Mytilus edulis: one gene and its partners. The protein of the gene in region 4 binds, or shares a complex with, the protein of the main gene of each other region. Links are inferred from orthologs where the notes say so. Each region holds a gene or a part of one and is shown on either strand. Other genes may lie near its edges. The genes, in order: p53 and DNA damage-regulated protein 1-like, prefoldin subunit 6-like, protein UXT-like and dynein axonemal assembly factor 10-like.

Region 1 (7,955 bases), on a different chromosome or scaffold from region 4:
AGGTACAATGGGGCCAATGAAGTGTTTCTTGTTTCTTGTTTTAATGTAGAATGGACCATTGGTTTTCCTGTTTGTTTTTCATTTATCGTTTTGTTAAAAGTTCATGGTTTTAGTTTCTTGTTTGAATTGTTTTACATTTGCCAGTTCAGGGCTTTTTATAACTGTATGGGTTTTGTTCATTGTTGAAGACCGTACCATGACCTACAGTTGCTAAAAATTTGATGTGATATCTGGTGGAGAGTTGTCTCATTGGCATTGTTTTTGAATTTTATATTAATTTGAGGACTCATCAACTTAATTTTGCTCCTCAATTTTTATATCATTGCATCATCAGTACAAGTTTTCCCCTCAGGCAAAGATTGAATCGGGTTTTTCATTCCAATATTCCTGAATGTATTGGTTTTTTTTTCATCATGGTTTTAAAATTGAGACATTTATACTATGGCTAAAATTGATTTCTTGTCATGAGTATGATGCATCAATATTATAGTTCTGAGAATGTGTTAAAACAGTTTAACATTAATTCATGGACAGTGTTATTCTTACCCAATTTTGTGACATAAACCAAAATATTGTCCATGTTAGCATCAAAACAGTCAGTATAAATATATGATCATGATGATGGACATGATGGAGGGTTATTTAATGTACAGTGTCATTGCAAACAGTTCCAGTTCAGCCATTTGTTACTTATAAATATGTATACTATAGTATATAGGTTAGATACCTAGAAGTCGTTTCTATATGAGTCGTCTATATGAATGGTTGATTGTATAAGTATTTTTAAAAATAAATTATAAATTCTAAGTAACTTGTTTTATTGGACTATTTGGTCATTCAATTTTGTTAGGTATTCTCTGTCTGAGTCTGACACTAAACAGCTGATTCTTTTTGAAAGAAACACCAAACTTTTGATACATGTTTCTTCACTTTTCTCATCAAGATATTGCCATATAACTGGTGGAATGCATATGAATTTGTGTTAATTAGCTGGATAATTAACAAACACAGATAATCAAGATCATGTTCAAAGTACCATTCCCTCTGAAAAAGTTCATTAATTTCAACTTTGAGAATTTTTAACTGTGTAAAATTTGACATTCCTATCTCTCTTTTGTAGAGTTTACCCACAAATTTTAAACATCTAAATACATGTGTTAAGCAAAATATTAGAGAATGTGTGCACCAAATATTTTATTATTAGGTTTCTCTTGTATATGGTGTTTTGTAAACTATATTTATATAAATACTTATAATTTTTTTTTATTTCGGCAGGAAATTAGATTATAATTTATAATTCATTATAATCATTTCATGTATTTTTTTAGTAAATTTTATAAATATTCAACTTAAGAGAATTGGCTAAAGCAGATGATATATTTACTATAATTATTTAGTAAAAAATCAAGGATCAGTTTTAAATGAAGTGATTATCTGAGCAAATACTAGAAAACTGGTGAAGGGTAAAAAGTCATATAATAAAACAATTGTTGAATTTTTATTTCAGTTGAAACTATGATTTATCAACCCCAGAGATATGAAATTCAACCTGGGCCGTTGGCCTCGGTAAATGTCATATCTCTTGGGTTGATAAAACATTGTATCAACCTCATCAAAAGTCAATAATTGTTTAATGTTTTGCCTTTCCTTTTCAATAAAATCGATAAATAGTCATTCAGATATTATGTTGGGTTTTTTTCCGAAAAAGTATGCCCAAGAACAAAAAATATTTATTCATATCAGTGATACATTGGAAAACAAATAAGCCATAATTTTTATTTTCACTCTTTTCTAGGGTACAAATGCTGTGTTTTAATACCAAAAAACGAAGTGACTGAATATGCCCAACCCTTTATGTATCTAAAGCAGGGTATATTTGGAAACTGAAAAAGTTTAGTTTACTTTAATGCTAGAAAATGCTAAATTACTAATTGACATTAGAAAAGGATACTGTTTATAATCATAATAATAATGGCTTCTAAGGTTCAGTTAGTATTTTGGATAAATCTGAAGATCTCTATTGGAAGTTTTATGTTCTAAGATTTTGAAAAATGGTGTTTATGTCACATGACGGATCACATATACTATTTCGACACAATAATTTAACAGTCGTTTTATAAACAATTGTTTTCGGGAAAATACTCCTCTTTTAATTAGCTATAAAAAAACATTTGACATCTTTTATAGGATGATTAAAAGATAATGGAAAACCAACTGTCTGAAGATACTGAGATGTCCGAAAATACCCTGTCTTACCCTAAAGTCTCACTAAAAAACTTGTTCAGTTTGCCATTGTTAGTGTATCAAGCCAGAGAAATAAATCTCTAAATCTCCAAGAATACTGCTTGTCCTTTGTGCGATATACCTGACTTAGGTTTGGGGGACTAAAGACAAGTATATATATATTGTAAATAAAACGAAGAGCTTTCAATTTATGATCCTTTTACTTTGGATTCAAACGCCAAAAGGGGCTGATACATGCAATCTTCACAACAATCATGGTTAAGACAATACAGTTCCAGAAAATACTGATTCAACATACAGATATATATAACATTTATGCCTAATGAAAACCTTGTTTCTTTTAAATAGTAAACAATGCTTTTTGTACTAAAATAAATGACCAACAGGATATATTGAAATCTACATTTAGCATGATTAGCAATGTCAATGATTAGACAAATTTTGAAACCTTTGAAGGTGCCAAAAAAGAATATTTTTCTTGATATATAAAAGGGTTTTTAGATCATTTTAGTGTCACATAGAGACATGTAGTACAAGTACATAAATATAACAGTAAAAGAAGGTCGAAAATCGTCGATTTACACTAATTCTAAACATTGTCATAAGATAGTAACATGAACAATTCAATTTACAGCAAAACATACGTCTTTTCTTCAAATATTAGTGTGTATTACTTCTAAAAAACGTCTATAAACTGCTTAGAACCATATTTTTACTCTGAACAAATTCTGTTCATGGAGGCTGCCATTTTCTATGGGAGATAACTCTAAGTAGAAACAGTTAGAGTTATTCCCTCTTGATGTGACAATCAGTGTAACCAAAAAAGTGCAGTTGAAATTTTTATTAAGTGATTTTTTACAAATTAGAAATATTTAATGAATTGTTTAATGTATACCAGTAACTAGTTCTTTGCATATTTATGTAGTTCAACTGTTGATTTAAATAAACCTTAAATGTTTCCAAGTCAAGTGTTGTATACTTGTGAAGGTATAAAGGGTGCCTAACATGTTTTTGTTGAATTATAAGTAGAATCTTCTTTACATAAGAAAATGCCTGTTCCAAGTCAGGAATATGAATGTTGTTATCCATTCGTTTGATTTGTTTGAGCTTTTGATTTTGCCATTTGATTAGGGACTTTCCGTTTTGAATTTTCCTCGGTGTTCAGTATTTTTGTGATTTTTCTTTTTAGTCCATTAGAGCAATCCCTTAGGTCTCAATGTTGAATTTTTTTATCAGGCCAGTCCTCGTCATGAATTCTAATAATGGGCAAGCAACTACTTCTGAAACAGCCAACAAAGGTCTGTAATTGTATAGGATGCACGGAAAGAAGAAAAAGGGGAAGTTGTTGTATAAATAGTAGTTTAAAGGATATCAAACTCAATTGGAGATCTTCTTTGACTTGGTCAGTTAGAATTGCTCTATCTGGCTAACAAACTATAATGCTAATGATGAGTGGCAAATTAAATGCATAATCTGGACGTAAACATAGTAATGTAATATGAATTTTAACCCTGTTTTGTATTAGGCTAACACAATGGTTGTTATGGCTGCATAAAGACATGACACCCTACTTTGCACATTATTCCGACTCCATGATGACCAGTCTTTGCTCTTTACTTATTTAAAATGCTATTTGCTTAGCAGACAAGCTGCAAATACCCATTTTGAAGTCTTTATTTTGACCTGTCATAGATTCTAACCCACAACCTCCACATTCCATAACACATATGAGACCACTGAGGGGGTTATAACAGTCTATGATACTTCTTTTTCTGCTCAGCTGCAGTTTAGTAGAAATTATTTGAGAAAGTATTTGTTTCTAATGGCTTTAGAACTTAAGAGTGATAAAGTATGAAGGGAATGGTGTTCTATTGACACATGTTCTTGTTTTGTACTATAATGATGTTTGTTCAGCGGAGGTCTATGGTTCATTTTCTGTCATATTTTTTTTATTTTTGTAAATTGTTTTGTTATAAATTAGGCCGTTAGTTTTCTTAATTGAAAGGTTTCATATTTTGTTTTTATGACAGTGCCTTTTATAGGTGACTATACGGTATGTTTTTTTCTAATTATTGAAGGCCATAGAGATACCTATAAATGCTTACATCCACTCATTAACTAATTAACTCATTGAATCTGTTTTGAAATTGTTAGTCCAAAGGACTCATAGAATCTTCTGAATGAGAACTGGGAGGATAGTAAGATAAAATCAACTTCTGTAAAAAACTAATTTTATTCACTATTCAACAATTTAAATATGTAACAAGTCATTAGAAACAAAAAAAATACATAAGTAGTGTTAATATATTTTGGCAATACATGATAATTAAAGAAGCAAGATACATTTAATTATAGTGTTTAAACTATATGCAACATTAGTGTTTTTAATATGAAGTAAATTTTAATGATAGAATATATTGCAAAAAGTTTTTATAATAGCCTATTGAATGATTGCAACCATTTAATGACTTTTCTTAAAACAACTGTTTTCATCTCTATGTCTGTCTTGGGCGGTCTAACATTTAAAAAACAAAAACTTGGTAACTTTGTATTGGGAAATCATAATTTAGTTGTTTAGTAAAAAAAATTGCCAAATTATGGATTATTAGGATAAAACTAAAAATCAGACCAATCCATTGTGTCAGACTCATAAATATTGTCTTGTACAAGCATATATACAGTATTTAAACAAATGCATTCCCTTGTCAATAATTCCCTTTATCATTCTATACTAATTTGTAAATTTTCTAAAAGAAATACTTTTAACTCGTCTTTCAACCAATTTTAATGAAAATTTCATCATCAAACTTATGAATGTTCAAAGGTTTGTTTTCATTTTTCATAATTCATAATTTCAACAAGAACTCTTTTTGGGACAATATTAGTTAAAATTCATAAAAAACAGAAAAGAAAGAACCTCAAAATATTATCCATTTACATAAAATTCATAAGAAAAAAAATCAAAGACTATTTACTTTCTATTTTAAGTTCATGGATGCACCAATCAAAATCCATTTAATAAACATACTTAATATTTAAGAAATAATTCATTGAAGCCATAGATTTGTTGGAAATTTACACATGGCCTGGGCCGTGATATTCGAATTTTATCCTGAGCGTTAGCGAGGGATAAAATTAACGAATATCACGGCTCAGGCCATGTGTAAATTTCCAACAAATCTATGGCTTCCATGAATTATTTCGATTCTAATAGGACAAATACGATCATTTAAAAACTGAAGCGATGATGGGTATACTGTGTGTGTGGCTGTTTTATTTAACCCACTGTTCGATACATGTAAAACAAATCTAATAAACCTGCATGAATGATTTCTTAACTAACCGCTAGAAAAAAAATGTGATAACTTTTTTTCACCTCTCAGTAAACCCAACATTTGCAATTTTAAATTTACATTTTTTATCGTAAGCTACCGTCAAATTCACTGTTGACATGTTGTAACCAAGGAGTCGCCATGTTGACTTGCTGAAATCAGTAAATGTGCGAATAATGCAATAGAACAGAAAACAAGCAACACCTACCTCAATACTTTATTTTAATGCAATTGTATCCGAGTTTAGAAGGTAAACGCAATAGAAAAACCTTCAGCTTTGGCGTTTTCATTCGTATGACGTCATGTTTTGAAATGACGTTAATGCGCAAGAATCATTACTGGAATTTCGCGGAATTTTAATTTATTTTGTTTTTGTCCATTTTTCCGTTCTCTAATGTGTAAATTCTTTTTGTTATGCATCAGAATCAACACAGCGAAATCCACAACCGTTTACACATAGGTTATGATACATGTGGATTTACGTGGGAGGCATATTTAAACAGCCATTTGTGTACATCTTGGAGTCTGCGCTAAGTATAGATATATCGAGAATTTTATCACGGTGTTGTTTACAAAGCGAAAGAAGCACGTCATATTAGAATGCAAGTTAATCTTATAATTGTGAAAGAACAACCTATATCAAATAACTACATAATATGGCACTGAGAGGATTAATATTATGCATGTACATAAAAATAGTTTCAATTTCTTAAATCCATGATTCTATTCTATATATGTTTGTCCTACAAAATATCAATATAAGGTGCATAAAAGAAAACTAACTGAAAACTACTAATCTTTTAACAAAATAAAACAATTCAGTACAATTGAATAAAAATATGAATTAATTGCAAATAATAAGAATGAAATAAACCAATTAAGGGAGCTGGCTTCTCAGTTTCAAAGTAATTAACTTTTCAAAACACTAGCATATATTGATATGGGATTAATAAAGGAATCAAAAGAGCAAAAAAAATATATAGGTCACCGTGCTTGTCTTTGAAATATTAGCCATTGAAATTTTGGCGGGAAAATGTTCTCTCTTGACTTTTCATAGCTTTATCATTGACAAGTTTAAGTCTTCAAAAACTATTAAAAAGTAATTAAAATTTTATAAAACTTTAACAGACAGCTTATCATTATACATGTAAAAGAATTATAAAAAGAAAAATTGGGGTCACCGGGAAAATTTTGTTAAGGCATTCAAATGGATAAAACCAGAGGATTCCGAAAATCTGACCAAAATTCCAAAACATGACAAGCGAGCTTCCTTAAACTAATAACAGTACTTAAATTAAAAAATACATATATATATTGTGTTGTCTGTTTTTAGGTTATTTTCCTCAATTCTTAAGTGCGTATTTTTTTTTACCCTGTATCTAAATATCTGGTACCAAAAATTGAATACATTTTTGTGCATTAAAAAGATTGGTTTATAGTTTGGTTTTTAGGCAAAACTGAGAAATTCAACACATTTTTTTTTACAGTTAATAGCTAGGGGGTCTCACTGGGGGGTTCTGATCCCTGACCCCACTTACTGTTTTGTCAGATTCCTGTATCCCGCTTACACTATGTACGAAAGCAATTCTTTTTTTGTAATTTCCCATGTCCCGCTAGACTTCATTTCCTGTTTTCCCAGCACAATTATTTGACTTTCACTTGTCACGCTTACAAAAAATCGGCAATCTGGCATCATATTTAGACCCCAATGAGACCCACAAGTTAGTCAACAAGTGTAAAAATATCAGTCAACAGATGTAAAATTCAAACACAAATGGCCATTAAACTTCATCCAACCAAAACACAAAATAATCTGTTATCATTAAACAATAACATACCAAAAATCTGGAAATATTACAATAAAGTCAAGCACTAACAATACTAATGAAACTTTCTATGTTGAATTGTTCAAGGGCAATAATGTTCCCTAGAACAAAACACTAACTTGATCTGTAAATCATAAGGACGGAAGGATCAATTAAAGCTATGGGTACAAAAACCAGCGAATCACAAAACCATATACTACATATGCTTGCAATTTATTTTAATGTATACAAAGTTCAAAATGTTTTCCTAAAAAGAATAATGTTTGATCAAATCTTTGTTTTAACTGCAGCCATTAATCCTAACTCATTTTTTTCTGCAGCAGTTACCTTACTTCACAGCAGCTACTTAATATTAGTTGTGAAAGAATACAGTAATACAGTAATAATTATACAAATCCTTTAGTAGATTTCTGGATCTTTATTCTCTATTCTACTTCTTAATCACAACTTCAGTGAGAATTGATAATGCTGTACTAATCAAAAATAGTTTCTAAAAAGTTTCAGTGAATGGTATTCTTCAGTTCTTCTGTTTTCTATCTTGACTACATGGCAG
Region 2 (7,920 bases), on a different chromosome or scaffold from region 4:
GGAATTCCAATAACTTGACGATATACGGAATCTCCAAAGCGAACAAAAATGTTATCAAGCAAAAATTCAAGGGCATATATAGTATCAAAGCATGTCCAATTGACATAGTTCTTTTAATTTGTTAATTGCTACTAAAAAATGACCTAAAAGAGTTTGAACATATGTACTCGCATTCTGACTTTTTAAATGCCTAGTTAATATGGGATGTGAATTTTTTCTTAATAAGAATATGAGGCAAAGTGGTATATACATGATATAGGGTAGAAAAATCAAAACTTTGAACAGATTCAAAATCCCCAATATATGCATAACTTATAATGTCTGGTTATGTAAATGTATTTCAGTTGTTTCCTGTAATTAGTTAATACTTCAGCTTTATCATGTACATTTTTTGAATATTCATTTTATTAAATTTACTGTTTGCAAAAGTATAAATTACTCTAAATTATAGGGATTTTCTGGTAACTTAACAGAAAACCCTTGCCGTTTTTGGCACAACCTTTTTGATCTTTTGGTCCTCGATGCTGTTCAACTTTGTACTCGTTTCGGCTTTCAAACTTTTGTATCTGTGCGTCACACATAGGTCTTGTGTGGACAAAATACACTTCTGGCGTATTAAAATTTTGAACTTGTTGCCTTTTGTTGGCTGTTGTTCGTGTGATTCTTTGTCAATTGTGTTCTCCAATTTATTTATATTGTAGTCCTGTGTTGTCATTTTGATGTTATATTTTACATGGCCATAAAAGTGTGAGGTTTGGCATGCCACAAAACCAGGTTCAACCCACCATTTTTTCCTTTAAAAATGCCCTGTACCAAGTCAGGAATATGGTCATTGTTATATTATAGTTCGTTTCTGTGTGTATTACATTATAACGTTGTGTCGGTTGCTTTCTCTCATTTTTGAGTGTAAATTCACATTGCGATAAGACGTGTCACGGTACTTGTCTATCCCAAATTCATGTATTTGGTTTTGATGTTATATACATGTATATATGTTATATTTGTTATTCTCGTGGGATTTTGTCTATGTGTGTTACATTTTAGTGTTATGTCGTTGTTCTCCTCTTATATTTAATGCGTTTCCCTCGGTTTTAGTTTGTTATCCCGATTTTGTTTTTTGTCCATGGATTTATGAGTTTTGAACAGCGGTATACTACTGTTGCCTTTATTTATATAGGACAATGCTGTTGATTAAAAAATACTCCATTCCAGGACCTTTTGTTTTCCAAATAATTAATATTACCAATAATTGATAAGTTCCAGGTCGACGTGTTCAAACAGAAAAATTTTGAAAGCAGAGAAAACTGTGCGTCTTATAATCGGCATGACTTTATCAGATGACAATCCCAATATTAAAATAAGGCTTACGCATAGTTATATACTTTAATTCAGTCACGGACCCGCGATATCACGGGTGTATTCTAGTGTATATGTATCTTTATCAGCATCATGAGCATAATTTGACAGTTGAGGCTTTCAAAGCCTAGGTGCCAAAGCTGAACTAATTTAAAAAACAGTGTGGGGAGGGGTCTGTATGTGCACAGAAGTCATGGCAAAATATTCAGTTAGTTGATTGTGGCCATTATCCTGTACAGACATGACAGAAGTAGAATTTTATAAAAAGTTTTACCTTTAACTACTTTAATACATTTATGTAATACATTGCTATCTATATAATTGATCTTGAAAGGCTATTTTAATTTTTTTGTGGGACATCTTCGAAGAAAAAGCGTAACAACATGAACAAGAGGCAAAGAAGAGTGAATAATGGGCAAAAAGTTTAAAATAAAGAGAAAAAAAGTAAATAGAGAAAAATAGACTAAAATATTAAAGAATAGTGTATACGTCATCATATAAAATATTTAGAAGAGAGATAGTCCAAATAATTATGACGTCTGGCAAGGCTATCTTATCTTTAAATTTTTCAAAGGAAGGCGTCCCAGAAAAAAATTAATATAGCCTCGCCAGACTTCATAACTATTCGGACTAGAAGGAAGAATGATGGGCAAATTTTTTAAAGAATACCGAAATTTTTTCAAAAACAGTAAAGAATGTAGAATTGAAGGACCCCAATCCAGAACTTCTTTCAAGACCTCATATTAATAAATAAATGGTATTAATAAATAAATGGGACTAGCACATGGACGAAACGACAAAGACCGAAACCTCTTGTTTCCACGAATTCCATTGCATGGTGATCATGGACACAGGCACTAGGTATCAGGTCTGTTCGCGCCCAATACACTTTTCGCATCCTACATGTTCGCACCTGAAACAATTTATAGATAAAAAAATTATAGCAATACACTAACCAAAATTGATTAATATTTAAGATTTATTCCACCCGAAAATCCCGGTCGTCAGAATCTCACTTTATTTAAATGATTAAAAATATTTTAACAATACACTATCCGGCAAATTATGATTAAGATTTATTCAACACAAAAAACACGTTGTCTCACTTTATTTTGAGACAATGAAAACAAATATACTAATATGAATACACTTGCCAAAACTTGGTTATAAAGTTATCAAACACAAAACCAATAAAACTTGGGCGCGAACGTGTAGGGTGCGAAAGTGAAAGGGCGCGAACGTGATCGTGTGCGAAAGTGAATGGGCGCGAACGGACCCAGATTCCAGGCACTAGGCGACGTCGATCTATTATATAAGAATAGTTTACCTTTCAAATTATTATAAACATGTGTGTCTGTGACCATGGATATAAAAACATGACTTCACTGACACTATGACATAGCTGGACGTATAAAACGATAGAGATGGACATTTATCAAATTATCTCAGTGTGTTGTTCACACTTTTTATCGTCATCAAGATAATTTGTAATTAGTTTTACCTTTCTGGAATGCGTCATATTTTTCTATATCGCTCTGCAATCGTTTCTGAAGTTCGGCCATATTGAAACAGAAGAGATTTTCTGGCAAACTAATTTTGATTGGTCAATTTCAGAGCACTTGTCCAATCCAATTAAACGTTGCATTGCTACTTCTACTTTTACTTTTAACATTATAAAACTCACCTTCTTCAATGAGAGCTGCTAATATTTGACTGACAAAATGAATTCATCAGGCATAAGAAAGGTTAAACAATTATGTTTATTTGAATAACTTCAAACTGTGTGTCAAGGCAAATAATATTTTTCATTAAAATATCATTTGCAATAGTTGTCATATATTTCAAAATAATAAGATGTGGTATGCATGTATGTCAGACTATGAGTTACTTTACTTTAGGGGGGGGGGGGGGGGGGGGGGCTATGGTTTTTTTTTGGAAAAAAAAGTTTGTTTCACCCTCAGCTGCCACTATATGTAATGCTAAAATTGAAAGAAAAAAAAATTGTTTTCGACTTGTCGCGAAAAAAATAGATTGTTTTTCGCCGTAGGCGAAAAAAAAAAGTTTGTCCAGAAAAAAAAACCATAGCCCCCCCCAGAAAATCAAATGGTTGCTGCCTTACTTACTTTACTTTAGTCTGTACTGTTCCGCCTATATCAGACGACCCACTTTTCAGTGTGAATATCATTTAAATTGTCATTTAATCCAATGCACTAATATTGTTTGTTTATACACATTAACCACCACCTCTATTTACTCAGGAGAATAAGTACATCCCATGAATATACATATCAGAAACTGGAGGGAAAGTCAATGGACTTCAAAATGTTTGTTGCCCCATTTCAAATTAACAATTGTCACAGTTGAGCACTTTTTCATTATAAAGCTGATTGATATTGATTCATTAGTACTACCTCAATAAAGTCGATCCACCTGCCTCAATCCTCAATCTTAAGGCCTGTTGGCATAGTTCTCTATAGCTGCGAAAACGTAGCTCTTAAGATCCTTTTGATGATTTTTGATATTTGCGGACTTTTAAATTGAAAAATAGTTACAAATTCTTTTTTAAAGGTTTTGATATGGCAAAAAAAAAATCAAAGGACAATTATAGAGCTACTTTTTCGCAGCTAAGTCCTCTAGTGAATAATTAACTGTAAAGTCATGAAAGTGTTAATTTCGGAACAAATTAGTTCATCGTAAAGTTTAGTTGATACAACATCTTTTATAAAAGTTTTTAGACTCTGTATAAAGCTGTTTCTCGCATTATTTAATTTACTGCATCTCAAAACAAAATGTACCCGGTTCTCTTCCTCAGTTCCACATAACGGACAAATTGCACTGACTTGTCGTTTACTAAATTTAGAATTGTCGCATTGAAGAGTATGTATTACACACTAATTTGGATTTGATGCAGGCACGTAACGTAGAGTAAGGTTCAGATCCACAAGTATTCCAAATAGGATGAATGCTTCCAAATTCTGCATCATCATACATGTCATAGTTTGAAAGATTTAAAGATCATTTTTTTGACACATCAGATTTTAGTTTAATTATCCAGTAGTAGCTTACAGAGGAGTTAACCAGTTTTTTTCCATTTAGACTTTGAAGGAGGGCTGACAAGTAGATCATGAGGTGACGGTAGATCATATAATTCTGTGATAGTTACTATTTTACGAAACCAACTGTTTCATGACTTGGATTTCATTGCAAGTTGACGGAATGCTAAGTCACGTTCGACAGAGTTATCATTATCAATACTGTTTTTAAAGATACCAAGAATTCTTTTGTGGATTTCCGCTGAATTCCAGAGGTACATCAAAGTTCAAACATATTGCGGCAATTCTATTATTTCCATCAGGGAGTTTCTCCAAATATGGATTATATATTATTTACGCAAATTGCGACCCCAGCATGTGTGCGTTTTCTGTCAACTACATCATCAATAATTCCATCGTCAAAACATTTTATGTGACAGTTAAAATCAGTAAAATTATTATACAAATTATCCTTCTCATGGCTATAGAGCCAGTGCTCTTGAAGTAAAATAATATCAGATCTTTTAATAAGTTTATAAAGATACGCTAAATTAGAGGTCAGGCCTTCAATGTTAAAAGATAAAATATTTAACAGTCAGGGGACTTACTGAAATAAGTGATTTTAAAATCACTTATTTGAGTAGCAAATTCGAGGTTTTGTCACAAATTTGGATTTTGTAGTTTTTTCAAAATTTTAAACACATAGGTTTAAATAATATCTTTTAATTAGTAAAATTTAAAAAAATGAACTTTTTGCTTCTTTTAAGTAGCAAGGTTTATGCCTTTGATGCTAAATTCTATTTTAGTTGAAAAAATGCTATAATAATGGCTTTACATAATGAACTGATACTTTCTTAAAAGATTTTTTCCAGCAGTGGCAGTATTTTTCTTGTGAAGTTCAAGGTTTCATCTTTCAGATTATGTAATAAAATTCTACTGTTCGCGATAAAAATTTCACTGTTCGGGGGTGTTGAAATTAGTGGGGGTTATAAATTAAAAGAATGATACTTAAAGAAGTGATTTTTGGGAAGGAAATTGAGGTCTGATACTTAAACAAGTGATTTTTATGTCATTATCCTAGATTCAGTACAAGGTCATCACCTGAAATGACCTGGTCATCCTAGACAACACAGATGTTGGTTCTGATAAGTTTAGAAACATAATTAGTCCCTGGGTCATTAGTATTCTATATTTAAAGCTACAGTAAAATTAAATCACTTCTTCTAGTGATTAATTTGTACTACTTAAATAGGTGATTATTAAAGAAAGACAACTCTAACTTCCAACCTTTATGGAAATAATGTTACTTGAATCAGTGATTTAGAAAATCACTTATTTAAGTAAGTCCCCTGACTGTTTAACAAATGTGATGTTAAATTCTAGACTGAATCGAGGGTGAAATTGTGGACTCTGGTTCTGAAATCTCGGGATCACTTGGTATTGTCGATGGACATTTGGTTGACGGACATGATTCGGAATTCTCTGTCTTGTTGGAGGAGGGTGGTACATGTACATTGGTTTCTTTGGTGGAGAATAATTCATATGTGGCAGGTGTCTTTTCGGCGCACGAACTTAGCCTAAAAAAGGGTACTGTTCAGTATATGATATACCATGTATACTATGAACAGGAGATTGTTCATCTCCTACCTCGTCATCATGCATTTCAAGCTCAGAATCAAATAAAATGTTAGTACAAGAGTCATTTGAAGGTTTCTCATACTTAAACTAGTCAGCAGTTTGATTATTGGTCACATTTTGTTTGTTCTTTCGTGTTCTCGGTTGTTTACGTCCATTCTCTATTTTAAAGTCGATGAATTTATCAGCTAAATTTGAAATTTTATTGTCTTGTTTAAGTATTTCAAATTCTTATGAACACACACGTTGTTCCATGGCATATGATCTAGAATTATCTTCTCGACGCAGATGGTTCATGTACTGTATTGCTAGGGTTTTGTTGTTTTATCAATAAGGAATGTTCAAGATCCTTTTCATCTTGCTCTAATTTAATAGTGAGGGCTCTGTCAGTAGCCAATTCTTTTTTCATTAATTTTTTTTCGGAATCTTGTTTACAAATGAGCAATTCTTTGGTTTTAAGTTGCTTATCTTTTAGTCCAAGTTGAGATTTTAAATATTTTATTTCCTCTTCTAAAATGTTAGTGTTATTACATGTTGTCATTGGAATGGCACTGATGGTTAAAGGAATAGGTATACATGTATGTTACAGTTAGTTAAATGTGGCGGAGTGGAGCACAGAACTGTGGGGTGACTCAAGTTTGTAGAAGGATTGCTATTTTCTGAACGTGACCGTATACTTGTGGTTGGTTGAATACCAGTGTTTTACGGAGCATGTTTTAAATGAGAAACAAGTAGATCTGATTGCAATGATTTTAAAGTTTTGCAGCTGTTACAATTATATTGAAGTGTAAGATCATTCTCTATCTCATCAACCTCCTTAACCATGTTAACAGTAAGATTTTCACATTTATAATGAAGCCATTTATTACAGATTTCACATTCAACAGCCTTATTGTCAGAACTACAAAGATTTTCACATATAGGACAGTAGTCATTTTGTTGTTGATCAGAAGCATTTATTAGTGACTTTAAAGATGCGGAAGCACTATTTAGTTTAGAATGTTGACACTGATCTTGTTGAATACTAGTATTAATGTCAGTTGGTCGAGTGCAACTAGTCTGATTTGAGTTAAGATATGCAGTGCAGCATTGTCTGATTTTACTGTTAATTGTTATGAAATCCTTGTTATGGTCTAATACATTCAAGATATCAGGTAGGGTTGACGAAATATAAACTGACATATGTAGCTGATTACCATTCAAAACTACTTTTGACGAGGTATTGTAAAAGTTTAATACATCAGATACATAGAGTTTGTTCTGTGCATCATTGACAACGACAGATTCAGAGACTACTGCTTTATTTACGTCGGTCGTATTAGTCCTTCTTATTGAGAGCCCCTCACCCTGAAGCACACTCAAGGTCACGATTTTAAATTCCTCATAGGCACCGGCAGTGAATGTAAGCACTAAGTTACCAGGACTAAATTTAGGGACTACTGAGAATGTTCGATTTGAGGCATCAAGTTTTTGACTAATTGCTTTGTTTTTATTTAGAGCATATTCAGCTGGGTGATCAGTCATTGTCAGTTGTATTGAATTCTAGTCAAATCGGCACCTGGTTAAATCGGTACCCGGTCAAATCGGCACTCAGTATAGTCAAATCGGCACCTAGTCAAATTGGCACCTGGTTAAATCGGCACTTTATATAGTCAATTCGGCACCCATGTTTATAGATTTGTTTAATATACATATTTTAACAGTAATTTAAGCAAAAACAGTAAAAATAAGGAAGGGGTTGTCCAGAAATATTTACTTAATTATTTCACATTTTTTGGGGTTGATGTATATATATTTTTCTCTTAACTAAATGCGTATTTTAGTTATATATACAATGATCAAGGATTTTTATAGTTCTCACTATACAAATCCTTGCAATGATATATGAGGTAGTGGA
Region 3 (7,888 bases), on a different chromosome or scaffold from region 4:
TTTCAATCCAGATACGGCCAGAATTTTTATTTAATGCAAAAATCCGAGTCAGATATTTTTCTCTCAATTACCTTAGACTGCCTCCTTAAATCAAATGGTTCGTACCTTAGACTTTAAATCTATCTAGAGCTTATACTGACTGGGGATCATTATTCAGCTATCACGCTATTTTTAAATAGGCTGGGGCGTTTGGGGTTAAACATGTTTTCGTAGGTAAATAATATTGCTGTGGATTTTTTTTCATGAGAGTGTAATAGAGTACATTACTTTCTGTTTGGTTGAATTGTGAAATAGACGTCACTACGTTCTTGTTCAAATCAGTGTCGCTTTGAAGGTATCGTGGTTGTCATACTCAGCATAAGCAATGTGTTACTGTAATTTGAATTTCAAAATAACTAAGTGACGTTTTATTTTACGCACTGATCAACTCCACCATGTAGCGAATCACATGACTTTGACATAATCAGTAAATACCAGCGAAAAATATCTTTATAAGTAAAGAATTGTCGCATGAAAATTAAATACACTGGAAATGGCAAAGTTCACAAAGTCTATTCTAATTAATCATTCCACAAAAAAAAAAAATCCAAGCAAAGGGGGGGGCCTCTACGCCCCCCTCTGGATCCGCCACTGCTTATGTCTACAAGCCTTACTGGGAAGATGAATGACTTCTTCTTTAAAATTTCTTGACAAGTTTCCAAAAGGGACTGAACCATATTCATGATAGTAGTTTTTTTATTGCATAATGTCGATTTTAATTCAAATTTCATATCTTTCCTAATATACAGTATTTTTCGAAAGATCACTTCTTTCTCAGGTTAGGCTAGATATTTGGAATTGTTTTCAATCTGTTTTTGATGGGAATCAAAAAGAGCTCTCTGTGAACAAAATGACTGCAAATGATTAACTGTTTTATCTGTTATCAATGACAATTACATTCCTGTAGTAGAGATAATACATTTATCTTAATACATGTATAAGGTCATATATGATGATCGAACATAATTACCTTAATTGTTTCTATAACTGTTTTTAATTGAAGATATTCAGCTGTTTGTTTGTACACTTCATCCCTCTGCTCTAATAGTTTACTGAAAGAATGGAAATACAACATTTCACTATGAAATTAACAATACAATAATATTACCTAGACTACTCGACTGATTCATTGTTCTGTGGATGAAGCCTGTAGAAGATAAAAGTGTAAACTCATGCTTCCTATTATAAAATGTTGGCTTGTAACATTTGTTTGCTTGTGTCTTTGTATATCATGTATATTATTACTATTTTTGCATTATGCTTTATGTATATATATACCTAAAGTTTGTTTATTGTTGTTGTTAAAGATTAGTAGAGCTTGTGATGTCATGTTTCATGTTATAAACATGTTCAACTATTGACTATAAATGTTTTTAAGTAGGAAATTCTTTCGTGAGGGGTTACTTTACTAATTTCACAACTAATTTCAATTATGTTTACCTAGAAAATCATCACAGCACGAAGGAGTATATGGTTATGTGGCTAGACCAGCGACTCTTTTTTTCTTAAACAGTACAATGAATTTTAATATATTGTTAAATTTGCTTGTGCTGAAGAGAGGGTATTAATGCCCTTTACCCATCAGACGTCAAACATTTTTGGTTACTGTTAGTGTCAAATCAGTTAAAAGATTTCTGTGAATCATCAAAATATCCTTATTTATACACGTCAGAGGTCTCAAATTATTATTGTAACTGGTATTTTGGACAAAATTTAACATGTTTCGTCAAAATTAGTCAATATTTTTACCGTCCAATTGAACACGGTTTTACACTAGTATTTTTGGGGCCTTTTATAGCTTGCCGTTTGCTGTGATCCAAAGCTCATGTTGAAGACCATACCTTGACCTATAATGGTTTATTTTTATAAATTGTTACTTGGATAGAGAGTTGTCTCATTGGCACTTACAGTGGCGGATCCAGAAATTTTCATAAGTGGGGGCCCACTGACTGACCTAAGAGGGGGCCCGCTCCAGTCACGCTTCAGTGATTCCCTATATAAGCAACCAAATTTTTTCCCAAAAAGGGGGGGCCCGGGCCCCCTGGGCCCCCCCCTAAATCTGCCTCTGACTTATACCCTTGATGACCTTTGCATTGTTGTGATGTAAAAGTCCCTAACTGCTGTGCACTGGTCGTGAGGAGAACTACTGCAGAATGAAACACTTTATTCCTGGTTCTATTTTTACTTTTTGTTTCCGTATTAATAAACTTTATATCATATTCTTTTAATATTAAATCGACCTCATTGCACTCAATGCCTCTTACCTTAATTATATCCTACATTGCTCATATCATCAATTTATTATTTGTGTATTACTTATAATATTGTGTATTTCACTAATGTTTATATAATCATTGTATGATGTTTTTGTATCTTGCCCGACAAGGGCCCATGATTGGTTTAATAAAATAATGTCTAATAATGTCTAATATACCACATCTTCCTATATCTATCTATCTATGTACATTTTATCGGCATGACTGTTAAAGTCATTTGGTAACATTTTAATCATTATTTGTCATGGAGGTACCCCATTATTACCCTCTTAAGATGGTAAAATTTTTGAGTGTATCCATTTCCGACCATGCCATGGTCATGGAGGACCCTGTGAATGTAAGATTGAAATCTTGTGGTAAAAAAATAAGATGAATACAATACGATACAACTGTATTGTCACAACATAGGTAGAGTTATTAGAAGCAAGTTTACATATTAATATATGATATGCTGTACATGCCAACCTTAAATCTTTTCTAAGCTTTTCGTTTAGAAACGTTTCGTATTGTGTAACTTTATCTCTTATGTTGGTTTGATTTTCTTCTTTAGACATAATGGTTTGCAATCATAAAATATATTCCGTCATATAAGATAATGACATCAATCATAATTTCTTGCACTAATCATGTTTTTTTAATTTCAACTTGCGTTTTCTACTTTCATTTTACACACCGGAAGTCAATAAAGTAATAACAAAACTGTTACCGAAATGGATGACAAATTGCGGTATTATTACATATTTAAAACTCACCGGACCCAAATGAGCTTTTCAAATCACTTGCGTCCATCGTCGTCTGTTTACTTTAACAAAAAAAATCTCCTTTGAAACTACTGGGTCAAGGTTTAGAAGTCTTGGCTGCCCACAATCTTCATTATGGTATTCAGTTTTAAAAATGTGTCCGACCATTGAAGATGGCTTACATACGGCTAACATAGGTCATAGGGAAAATTTGTCTGCAATTTTGCAACCATTGTCAATATAGAAAATCTGACAAGGCAGAAATTTTCAGAATGTTGAGTTTGACAATCGGTCATTTAGATCAAAACTGTCAGACTACTTAGAGAAGTCATTCTCGCGGCCCTTAAGTTAAATGACAAAATAACGGAAATTGTTGAGGAGGCTAGCTATCACTGTGGAGCTATATGATTAAAAAGGACATAAAAATCAACTTGGCTCAACCGTTTTTGCTGTAGGTTTTGAAATCTTAGTTTCTTTACGATTTATAAACGGACAAATTTAGAAAGGTGTGTTATAGATCATTTATTACCAAAGTACCGACTACTAACTGGTTTTACCCCGGATACTGATAGTCCATCAGCAGAGGTATCGATCCAGGACTGCGGGAAAATAGAAAAACAACACGTTAGAGATTCCATTTGTCCGAAGCGCTTCATTGATTTACCTTCACAAGGAACGCTCAAAGCTTAATATTTGAAACAGTTTAGATCCAAATCCTTAGTTTCAACATGTTCTTCCAGGAAAGACCCCCAATGGTGACTAGGGAATAAACATATGGTCACCATTGGTCTTCCAAAGACCGGCAGTAAAACTCTCACTAAAGTGGGGCTTCCATTTGGCTGTGCAGGATGTACAAGTTCGCAGCAACGTCCAGTAAAAATGAGGACGTTGAATTAATCGGATGCCTCGTGTATAAGAGAGATGCCACGTTTTTGTATGTTAATAACCCTTAGCAGCAACTCTTTGTGGGATCCGTATAAGGTGACCAGTTGCACGGCTAAATTTTCCTATCTGATATACCCATATTTTCCTGTGTTAGCCCAAATTTCTCCGACTTCCATCCGGACTGCTTTTATTAGAGGACCTTCCTTTAGTGTGATTGTTTGTTAATTTGTTCTCGTCCTGAACATGATTGAAATATTTGTCACTGAACGTTTAGCAACCAATAGTCAATCAATCCTTATTTCGGGAAATAAGTCTGTTTACATGCCGATAAATTGTAATGCGGAACGCTACCCCTTACAATTAAAAACAAGTATTTGTGTGTGAAGTTTACACACCAACTAAAAGATATGTGTGGATGAAGTTCACTTACTAACTAAAGGATATATAGAGAACAATTGAGGGTCATGCATTCATTTTACTTTTTTCAAGGTTGGAACTTGAACAAATCGGAAATAGCTCTACACGAAGGAAAATTGTAAAGATCGGAAGCTTTCGCGTATTTATTAACATCATTGTAATTATTGAAGTCCGCGGTCTTTCTGTCATTTCGTGGTTCCATAAATATGGGTTACCTTCTTAATTGTCATTAATCAGTGACATCGTCAGTTAGCTTGCTGTCGGACATCGATGTTGAACATTTTATTTTTGTATTTGTAACAGTTCACAACAAATCAAATTAGCCCCATTGTTAAAACAATAGCACGTCAAACCAGTAAATTAAATTATGGTTTTTGTAATTGTAGTTTTATGTGACGGCCACATTAATACATTAGTTGAAACATATTTTATTTGCCAAATTAAAGCAACATGGATTATACATAAGTAAATCATACCAGTTTTTCTCCATAATACAATATAAATAAATACAATAATGGTATTATGAACATGCATGTAAAGCAAACAGTTTTAGGTGGTATGGGAGTCTAAAATAAAAATGATAGAATTTGTTCATACTTTGCCAAAACGTAGTATCTAATGATATATGTTGAAAAATATAATAAAAATGATAGGTCACCGCGCATTTTCTCAAGCTACAGGACGTGACAAAATGACACATTTTGTATGGATTATACAGGGAAAAACACCATTTTGTGATTAGAAACTAAACAAAATGATAGAATTGTTAAATACTTAAGGAAAAGATAGCTTTCAGACAATGCTTTGAGAAAATCAAAAAAAAGATAGGGTCACCGTACGTTTATTTTGGCTAAAATACAAAATAGGAAAATTCCATGTAGAATCCTTCAGAAAATACACTGTTTTAGAGTTACATCCCCTTAAATGCCAATTTAATTTTTTTGTAAAACAACCAAAAATAATCACCACTAGCAAAAATATTAATATTTATAAGTTATATTCTTATAAATTGGTTCTTTTAAATGAAAATTCACATTAAATATCTGCATTCCTGCATCAAATTTTGCTAACTTGATAAAAAATCTGGACCTTGGGTTCTCTGTTTTTTACAATCCAAGATGGAGGAAGACACCCATACTACCTTAATAGAATAAAATACGCTGGAGCTATTGTAGGTTAAAAAAAAAAAGAACGAAAATTTACAAAGTCATATACACTATTAATTCTGTGATGATGAAATCTGTTTGTGACCTTTTGGTGAAATTTTGAACATGTTTGTAAATGAACATTATGTTCGTTCGAAGGTTTCAAGCCTCCGCAAATTGATAGTTTTGTATCTTTAACAAAGTTTTTTGAAAGCTAGTTAAGATTATTGAGTGAGGTTTTTCTACATGAAGTGTGTTTTGGACAAGCAACGACCATATTCGTATGTCGTTCTCTGTATAGATGCTTATATGGTGGTGGAAAACAGAAAAATAAAAATTCACTCCTTTATCCCTGCAACGCACCTGCATAAAAGACAAGACGATGTTTGTTGAATATTCATGTCTCAGTATATATAACAAAAATAAAAAAGATATTTTGCATCCAAAATTATTTTATATTTCAAGCTCACTGTAACAGGTCTGCAATTTTTTTAATATCGCCGGGAAGAAAATTGCAGATTTAGGAGGTTGCATCTTGACTAATTTTGCAAAAATGTTTGCATTTCTTACCCAAATAGTTTTAAAAGCCGTGATATTTGCACATTTAATTGTAAAATAGACCATCTAAACATCAAAGAGGAGCACTAGATATTTTAATCCTTAATGTGCAACCTTGTCATATATACTAGTCAACAAAAGAAACGATACACGACTTTAGAATAAAAATTTATCAAAAAGTATTAAAACTAAAACAAAATGAGATACACTATTTTAAAAAGCTTTCATTTGCAATATATGCACATATGATAATGAAATTCAAAACCTGTCGGAAAGTAACTAAATTCCATGTAAACGATCAAAGGGTGCAAATTATTTTTGCGGAAAGTTGGACACAAAATCGACACATAATTTTCTAAGTCCTAAATGAATTTTCAAATTTGTTTAAAAAATATTCAATATATATGCTAATCAAGTAATGTTCATATTTTCACTAATGGGTTGAAATATTGTTTTTTTTTTATTTTTGGTAAAAAAAAAAAGTGTTTTTTGAAATCTCAAAAAATGCACACTGGAAATTTTGAACCTTTCGGATTAGTTTTAAGATTATTAACGGTTTTTTTTTTAAATTCACTTTACACATACTGTCAATGGTAAATCAATTGATAATGTTTACATTTAAACGAATTCTTGTTGGACCGAACTTTGCTTTACAAATAAACAAAGAAACTGTACGATTTTTAAAAAAGAATTTATGGCAAACATTGTCTTTATCTTTAAATGAGAGGTTGGCATCATTAGTTGGAACTTCTGTTTTTAAAATTATCGTTTTATGTAAATTTTGTCAAAAAAATTAAGTTTCGCAAAATGACGTCATGAGAGCAAAAAAACATTTTTTTTAAACGGATTTATTACCATGGTCATTAAATATTACTACCTTCAATATTAGTCCTAGAAACGGAAAACTTCATCTTTAATTTGAAAAAAAAGTCGTGTATCGTTTCTTTTGTTGACTATATATAAAACGATTCTTAAAAAAAGTTGCATGCAGGGATCGGAATAAATATGTACCAAATTTAACCTGGTCAGACTTTTTTTAGTTTGCATTGTTCCAGTAAATTAAAAAGGTGTTTGACTTTTTTCTCCCCACTTATTTGTCATTTTCGATCGTATAGCACCACGAAGGGTTACTTTTTTAATAGTTTATTTTTCCTAATTAACATGTGACTCCGCATATATATACTTAATTCCATTTCTAACGTTTGCTGGTTAAAAAAAATCGGGAAGGCGAATATTTAATAAGTTGAAAGTAAGTTTGACAATATAATTTAAGCAAAAATTGTATTTGGAAATTTCATTTTGCTACGCGATATTTGGCTAATCAGATATGACCTCGGGCAGCACATTTATCGTAAAAAAACAAAAATAACCAAGAGCTTATAAGTCAAAAGTAAATACAAGAAAACAAATATAAAAAAAAGTTCGAAATATTGCCTTCGAGGTCATATGTCACTATTGTTGGTAAACTTTTTGAACAATTAAAGTAATTCTAATATATCAATGTCTTTTTTCTCAGATTCACACATTTTGGTTAGAATGATCAAAAATGACAATCGCGTCATACATGTGTAATATGTACATGTAATGTATGACGAAGCAAAATATTGTATATGTAAACAACGTAGGCTTCCTATACTAAGTGATCTGATTATATTTAAACTAGAACGGTGTATTTTAGTCCACTGTGTTTTTTTCGGTCACGGGTTTTAAATGCCATTCAAGAAAAATATTTCAAAATGGTAGGAAGGAAAGAAGTATTAAGCTTACTTGTTTCGACTGTTTCAACTACAGGTAAATAAAATTTTCGTTTTTCGAATATATTTCCAAT
Region 4 (7,981 bases):
TGTAACCACCAACTCCATCAATAGCATTTATAATTTCTTTGTGGGCTTTCACAGAATATACAGGTAATTCCATTGACTCTAGGTTCCTATAAACAACAATAAAACATATAAACCAGATATACTAAATTCACCATCAGGATTTTGGGGTTTTTTTTGTCTTATGTTTCAAGGGACAAGTAGTATAGGATAAATGTTCACACATTGATGTTTAGGTCAAGCAACAAATTAAATGCTTAATTTTAAGTCCACAGAAAGACTTGACACATTATTCTAACTATGAGCAAACCAGTCAGCATTCTTTAATCTTGAATAGGCCTTAGGCATGTTAGGGACATTGTATTTTTTTTCTTATAGCAAATAAGATTATCTGTAATTTGTAATACATTAAAAATATTTAATTTACAAACCATATCTGCATTTTTCCATCGAAGTCTCCTGTTGCAAAATATCTTTGCTGTAAACTTGATGCTCCAAATGTTCCACATTTCAAAGCTTTTGATTTCTCAATCTGTTAATAAAAATTATATAGCAGATTCATATATATATATAAAATGTACATGTATGTTTTTTGTAATGCATTTAATGAGAGTATCACAAGATTTTATATTATAATACATTGTACAAAGGTTTATCTGTCTGGATATAATGGAATAAATGTATTGTTCAGTTTACTTGAGAGAAAAAAAAACATGATTACTACCAAATAGCAAAATTATCAAAATAAAATCTACATGTATTTCATCTTTAAATGACTATTTAAATGAACAAAATTTCCATTTACTTTTTAGACTGAGTGACAGGTCAAATTTAATTAAAACTATTATATGAAAATGAAATTAGACCACATATAATCAAAACCAACACATAAAATTCTGATCCTTGCTTGTACATGTTTTAGGTACAATGTATATTAGACTTTTCACACCAGGGGTTGGAAAACCAGCATGGGAAATTGTGGGTAGGCATACGCCTCCATGGGGTAAAACACCAGCAAATAGTGACAGTTGGCCTGGCAGGTACATGAGGTATGGGTAGGAGCAAACCTGTGAGGTGTGAACATGTTTTGGAAGTGAACGGACCCACTTGAATATACATGTACCAAAAAATAACATAGGTGGATCCAGGGCCCCCCTTTTCATGGAAAAAACTGTGGTTGATTATATAGGAAATCGCCCCAAACTGGTTTATCAAATCGCCCCTCTTTTTAAAAAATCGCCAACTTGTGAATGGGTTAAATCCCGTTAATAATGTTAATATTACTCCTGCCTACTCGCCCCACTTAATGAAAAACGTTATGCATATGGAACTAAACACATTTATTTCTAAAAAAACAGTTGTTGGCATGACACGGGTTATGTTCTTCTCATATATTTTATGATAGTATGATACTAAACCCCTAACGGGAGGGATTGTACCTGATATTCATATGATGAAGACATAATCTTTCAATCAGTTTAATTGAGGTCTGGAGCTGGCATGTCAGTTAACTGCTAGTAGTCTGTTGTTATTTATGTATTATTGTCATTTTATTTATTTTCTTTTGTTACATCTTTTGACATCAGACTCAGACTTCTCTTGAACTGAATTTTAATGTGCGTATTGTTATTCTTTTACTTTTCTACATTGGCTAGAGGTATAGGGGGAGGGTTGAGATCTCATAAACATGTTTAACCCCGCCGCAATTTTGCGCCTGTCCCAAGTCAGGAGCCTCTGGCCTTTGTTAGTCTTGTATGATTTTAATTTTTAGTTTCTTGTGTATAATTCGGAGTTTAGTATGACGTCCATTATCACTGTACTATTATGCATATTTTAGGGGCCAGCTGAAGGACACCTACGGGTGCGGGAATTCTCGCTACATTGAAGACCCATTGGTTGCCTTCGGCTGTTGTTTGCTCTATGGTCGGGTGGTTGTCGCTTTGACATATTCACCATTTCCTTTCTCAATTTTATTTTATACTTTTGTAGATGTGCAAACCTATCATCTGAGAATAAAATTATTTAAACACAGATGATTCTTGACTTATTTTATAAAAAAATGAATATATTTACCAGGGAAAAAAATGTCACATAAATGCTGATTCTACCTTCTTTCTGTTTAATTTTTACCATGCAAAAGAAAAAAAAATGCATTTCAAACGTTCTCATAAGTGGGATGAATTGGAAAACCTACACTCTTTACAGTTTTATTATTTTATTCATATGTTGGGCTAGTTTGTAGTCATAAGTGGGGGGAGTTGGCATTGCTAAATTCATTGTGTTTTATTTATTTGTCATGAACATGATGAATGGAGCGAGGTGCCAGACCGTATTTCAAAGATATTTTAACCCTTTACATAAGTGGGGTAAGTTATCCAACCTATTTTCAATGGGATTTTACCCTTTTTAATGTGCCCATTTCTAGTCAATAATTATAATTAAATAAGTTTCCTTATTTTTGTATTCTGTGTAGATTAGTCTCATATTTACAAAAATGTAAGTGGGTCGATTTGGCAGATAAAAAATTATAAGTGAATCTAAATATTACCGTTTTTCATTAAGTGGGGCGAGTTGGCAGTAGTTATATTAACGGAATTAAACCTATTTCACAAGTGGGGTGATTTAAAAAAAAAAATGGGGCAATTTGGTAATCCAGTTTGGGTCGATTTTTTTAAGTGGGTGGTTTTCGTGAAAAAGTAAGGCGATTAGGTGTTGGGGGATTTACCAGTGGGAGATTTGTCATGGATTCGTCAAACAGATAGCGATAAGGTTCAACTTTAATTTTCCAATTTAACAGATTTAGACTAACCTGTTGTAGACAACATACATTACTACAAGAAACAGATAGTTGGGAAATTTGTTCTTACTTACATCATGAACTAGTTTGACATCACCATGTTGTACTTCATAAACCTGAAATGCTCCAGTTCCGCGTGCATGGTTACCGAGTACAATAAATTTTGCGCTACACGGAATCCATTTTGTATCAAATAATGTGTAATTTACTGGTTTCTGTACATGGGAAATAATCTGTGGCTTCTCCATTTTGTTTTAAAACACTTTTAAAATAAGAAAACTTGTAGAAATTCGATTAAACCCAATCTTGTAGCAACATGAAATTTCTTTTTCTTTCGCGAACTTTAACCGGAAGTGAAACTTTCCTACCTTATTGCAGAAGAGCTCTATAAATAAAAACAGGTGCTGCTAAAGTCAGTTAACTCGATACTTTGCCTTTGTTATGACACTTAAGTAGATATTTTAACATTTCTCACTTTAATATTATGTAGATAGATAATTTTCTGACAGAGTGATTACAAACCCCATCACACTATCATGACTATTCACTGATTTAGTAATAATTTGATATTGTCAAGGATTTGTATAGTGATATTGTCAACAAACAAACATGTGCAGCTGGAATAAATTTTTGTTATGCCTAGTGGCTAGAGCTAGTGGCAAGCAGAAATGACATGAAGCAGGTGCTACCTGTTGAGAACATAAAAGTTATTAGTGCATGTTTATTTTGCTTTATATAGTGGATTTCTTGACCTGTATTATTTTGTCAAATTTACCTCCACCAGACAGGCAACTTGGGCAAAAAAGGTCTCTTTCCTGTCTGTCACTTAGCTTTGCTGACTTGTCAAAAGGGAAATCTAGTGCGCCTGTTATTGCCCAAGGGTAAAAACTTAAATCTAGTCCCCCTGTTGTTCACCCTATTCGCTTTCAGTTGCTTTCGTCATCAGGAATTTGATTTTTTTACCAAATCCATCTATAAGTAAAGATGGGGGGGGGGGGGGGGGGGGGGGGGGGGAGGGTGCATGGTTCTGAATACAGATCCATGTGGAATAAAATTTGCAAAAATGACTTGCATTGAAAACAAAAATCAGGAAAAGCTATAAGCACCAGAAATAAAATAATAAATATTAATGAAAATAGTGCTAGAAGTTATGTAACTCAGCTGTTCATGGAGATCATGCAGTCATTATTAATAGAAATGAAGACCTTGTGGTTGCCTTTTACCATCTGTTAGTTGTATTAGATTTAGGAAAAAAAAATGTGATTCATTGTAATTTTATGTACTTTAATTTACAATATTTATATAGCACATTATCTAATTAAAATTACTCTAAGCGCTTAACATAAAACAATCAATGCAGTTAAGAGAGGTGTTTAAAAACATAAAAACAATCAATGCAATAAGAATGAAATAAAATTTTGAACACATAAAAAAAAACTTTACTGCATACAGTACATGTATATACATATATACCGTAAATACATGTATACCATATCTGGTCGACTTAAATTATTCTGGTTTACCTTTGAATTAAATGCATGACAAGCCAGAGAAATAATAAGTACAGACATAAAACACAAAAAACAAACAAGGGGGAAAAAGGAAGCATGCACATCGAACCAAATATGGGGGAAATGATAAATAAAACATCGAAACACATAAGCACACGAAATAAAAAGGCAAAAAATTATGCACGGAAATAAAACTTTATCACACTCAGTAAAAAATCAAAGATATAAACATGTATATCCGTAAATGATTTATTTTCTTTCAAAAAGAGGTTAAAGCATTGAATTAACAGTTCATGAATAATTAAAGGAACATACAATAAACTTATTATTTCATAAACGTAAACATGATAAAATCATGAAAATAGATGTGTTAGTAATCCAACTTGAAATAATTTTGTTGTTGCAGAAATTGTAATTATAGAAGAGAATGTCTAGCACTATATCAGTTTCCAAGAAAAGAAAATCTACATTAGACACAACTGCTTCATATTCAGTAAATAATGCAAAAAAGAATAAGATGTCGAAATTACCCAAAAGTCCAGTCGATGAGTTACATATGATGAGGAAGAAAGAGCAGGTTGAAGAGTCAGATACAACATCTGAGGAAAGTACCGTTGAAGAATCTGAATCTGAAGGTTCAGATGCACAAGAGGCTGAAGCTGATGAATTAGTAAGAATTAATAAGTTGCATAAGTTAAACATTTGTACAACTTTACTATACAATGTATATATATATATAGTTTATTTTCACAAACTGATCCACGCTTAAATAGATTGAATGTTGATTTTTGCTATTTTTAGACATTATATAAAATAACAACTTGTTAGGATTTGTGATTTCTTCTACTAGTTAAAATCACTTCTCACAGATATTTGTTTGAAAGGAGTTAATAAAAATATTGTTTGCCTCAGAGTTTAGGAGAAATCTTATTCAATAAACTATATACATTTCACAAACTGGCCTTAATGTACATTGAAATTCTATAAGTGAACCAAGACCTGAAGTGGTAGAGTTAAAACAAGTGAATACTGCTAGGTATAATTCCCAGTTATCTTTAAATAAATAAGAATGTCGCCACACAACTTGCACAAGACAAACTGTCATTGTTCAATTACTCTAAAGATAGACACAAAAAGAAATTATATTTTGTACAAAACTTTTGAATTGTACTACATGTATAATATTAAAGTATAAAAAAAAAATCAACAGGAAGCTTCAAGCCTAATGGACAGAACAACAGATTACAGTAACATTAACACCTAAGAAAAAACAAATTAGAGGTCATTTTATATGTACAAACAAAGACAAAACCAAAACAAACAACATATGGTCCCAAAATAATATGTCTTCTCAAGGAATTGCATTCATTATCAAATCAATAGTTATTGTTTTTATTTTTTGTTTTTAGGTAACAGTTAAGCAAGGTAAGTTACATATATATATATATAAGGCATCAGTTAGACAGCAACCAAACAACAAAAATATCCAAAAGGCATCTAGGCAGGAAATGAAAATTACATTTTAAATTTATTAGTTTGATGTATGGAAGACTTTTCTGTAATTGCCTTCCTCAGAATGCTATTAACGAAAAAGATGCATAAAATGCTTCGAACCTAAAAAGACTAATAAAAACCATATACATGTATGGTTAGCTTTGACTCAAGGAGTTGGAACAGAAGATTCTGTATAATTTCTAAATTTGTCAACCACACTGACAGTTTTAAGAAATGTATAATAAACTATGTCAATTGCAAAACAATGACTATTGAGCTAATAATATTCTTGAGAACTAACCACCAGCAGCTGTATCAAAGTTGTGCTGAAAAATGAAAATAACATTTCATAAATTTGGTGGCCTGAAGCAGTCTTCTGGATTAACTTTCATCAAAAACATTCCACACCAAATTTAAATGCCAATGATGGGTAAGAAGAGTGATATACTTTCAAATTAATTTATAGGATATACAATTTGGTTTCAGAATTATCAAATATGTCTTTTGAAGAACTAATACAGTTGAAAGAGAGGCTTGGTTTAAAAGTGTAAGTATATTATTCTTCATTGAGATAACAAAAAGTCTCCTTGTACTTGAACTTTAACGCATTTGTAAAGTGTAAAAAAATCTTCAGTTCAAATTTTTTATGAAAATGTCAAGAACTTAAAAATTCCTGGATTTGTGATTTTCTGTTCGTGGTGATGCTCAAATCATCAGCGTAACAAAGCTGAAATATACTCATGCCAACTCATGTTCACTGTGGCCTTTAACCTTGAATTTTGTAATGATATTGATAAAGCTTAACTCATATTCAAATGTATTGTATCTGTGTATTCAAGTTGAATGATTTTAAAATGAAATAGGTCTAGAAAATTGAACCATATAAAAGTGTACCCACTCCAACTGTGGGCTGATTGGAATTGACAAAATCCAAATAAATTGTAAAATATCAATGTTATTTTTTTTTTTTACACAATGTGAATATTTTCAGATATAACCAAGTAGTACATGGAGATAAAGTGAAGAAGCCTACCTCTAAAAGAGTTTTTAAAAGAGAAAATAAGAACAGGTAACACTATCCAATAGCTAAAAACTCATTAAATTGAAAAAGGCAGTAAATATATTCCTTCCTTATTGGTGCAATTATTAAATTTTGTAAATACACAGGACACCTCAAATGTGAAGTGAACAAAATGAATCACTCCATGTGCATCATAACTTTTGATTTTTAACTGGATTTTTGTGACAAAAATGTCGGTTATTGATTTGGGAAAATACGCCGGGCGGTCGGTCGGGCGGGCGGCAATCAAATGTTGTCCGTGCATGAACTCATGAACCAATCAACCAAAGCTTTTAAAATTTTAATATGTTGTTACTGACAACTAAATGAAGGTCAAGTTCAATAATGGCGATTTTGACTCTTACAGTTCAGGAGTTATGGTTCTTGAAAGATTGAAAAATGGAGTTTTCAGTCGTGTCTGTGCATTTACGCATGAACAATTCAACCAAAGCTTTTAAAATTTTAATATGTTGTTACTGGTGACAAAATAGAGGTCAAGTTCAATAATGACGATTTTGACTTTTACCGTTCAGGAGTTATGGTTCTTGAAAGATTGAAAAATGGAGTTTTCAGTCATGTCCGTGCATTTACGCATGAACTGTTCTACCAAAGCTTCCCAAATTGTAATATGTTGTTACTGATGACAAAATGGAGGTCAAGTTCAATAATGACGATTTTGACTTTTACCGTTCAGGAGTTATGGTTCTTGAAAGATTGAAAAATGGTGTTTCCAGTCGTGTCCGTGCATTTACGCATGAACCATTCAATCAAAGCTTTTCAAATTTTAATATGTTGTTACTGGTGACAAAATAGAGGTCTAGTTCAATAATGACGATTTTGACTTTTACCGTTCAGGAGTTATGGTTCTTGAAAGATCGTAAAATGGCGTTTCCAGTCGTGTCCGTGCATTTACGCATGAACTGTTCTACTAAAGCTTCCCAAATTTTAATATGTTGTTACTGATGTCAAAATGGAGGTCAAGTTCAATAATGACGATTTTGACTTTTACCGTTCAGGAGTTATGGTTCTTGAAAGATTGAAAAATGGTGTTTCCAGTCGTGTCTGTGCATTTTCTCATGAACCATTTAACCAAAGCTTTTCAAATTTTAATATGTTGTTACTGATGACAAAATAGAGGTCAAG

The links.
Region 1: dynein axonemal assembly factor 10-like (region 4) and p53 and DNA damage-regulated protein 1-like share a complex: the UniProt entries of both Homo sapiens proteins name them as parts of the PAQosome complex. The link is inferred for Mytilus edulis from reciprocal best matches to the Homo sapiens genes DNAAF10 and PDRG1.
Region 2: dynein axonemal assembly factor 10-like (region 4) and prefoldin subunit 6-like share a complex: the UniProt entries of both Homo sapiens proteins name them as parts of the PAQosome complex. The link is inferred for Mytilus edulis from reciprocal best matches to the Homo sapiens genes DNAAF10 and PFDN6.
Region 3: dynein axonemal assembly factor 10-like (region 4) and protein UXT-like share a complex: the UniProt entries of both Homo sapiens proteins name them as parts of the PAQosome complex. The link is inferred for Mytilus edulis from reciprocal best matches to the Homo sapiens genes DNAAF10 and UXT.

What each region holds. Positions count from the first base shown.
Region 1 is NC_092352.1:12,758,787-12,766,741, reverse strand, and holds the start of p53 and DNA damage-regulated protein 1-like, read right to left. Parts: upstream 3,019-7,955; 5' UTR 2,919-3,018; exon of another isoform or gene 2,877-2,918; intron 1-2,876. UniProt on the Homo sapiens protein: May play a role in chaperone-mediated protein folding.
Region 2 is NC_092345.1:388,782-396,701, forward strand, and holds the start of prefoldin subunit 6-like, read right to left. Parts: upstream 3,017-7,920; 5' UTR 2,919-3,016; coding exon 2,858-2,918; intron 1-2,857. Other genes in the region: surfeit locus protein 1-like, read left to right, coding at 3,078-3,101. UniProt on the Homo sapiens protein: Binds specifically to cytosolic chaperonin (c-CPN) and transfers target proteins to it. Binds to nascent polypeptide chain and promotes folding in an environment in which there are many competing pathways for nonnative proteins.
Region 3 is NC_092344.1:98,263,545-98,271,432, reverse strand, and holds the start of protein UXT-like, read right to left. Parts: upstream 3,001-7,888; 5' UTR 2,870-3,000; coding exon 2,781-2,869; intron 1,092-2,780; coding exon 1,010-1,091; intron 1-1,009. Other genes in the region: uncharacterized protein, read left to right, coding at 7,797-7,851. UniProt on the Homo sapiens protein: Involved in gene transcription regulation. Acts in concert with the corepressor URI1 to regulate androgen receptor AR-mediated transcription. Together with URI1, associates with chromatin to the NKX3-1 promoter region.
Region 4 is NC_092346.1:9,760,871-9,768,851, forward strand, and holds the start of dynein axonemal assembly factor 10-like, read right to left. Parts: upstream 3,022-7,981; coding exon 2,848-3,021; intron 509-2,847; coding exon 408-508; intron 87-407; coding exon 1-86. Other genes in the region: ribosomal RNA processing protein 36 homolog, read left to right, coding at 4,712-4,954, 5,694-5,709, 6,265-6,325, 6,770-6,847. UniProt on the Homo sapiens protein: Key assembly factor specifically required for the stability of axonemal dynein heavy chains in cytoplasm.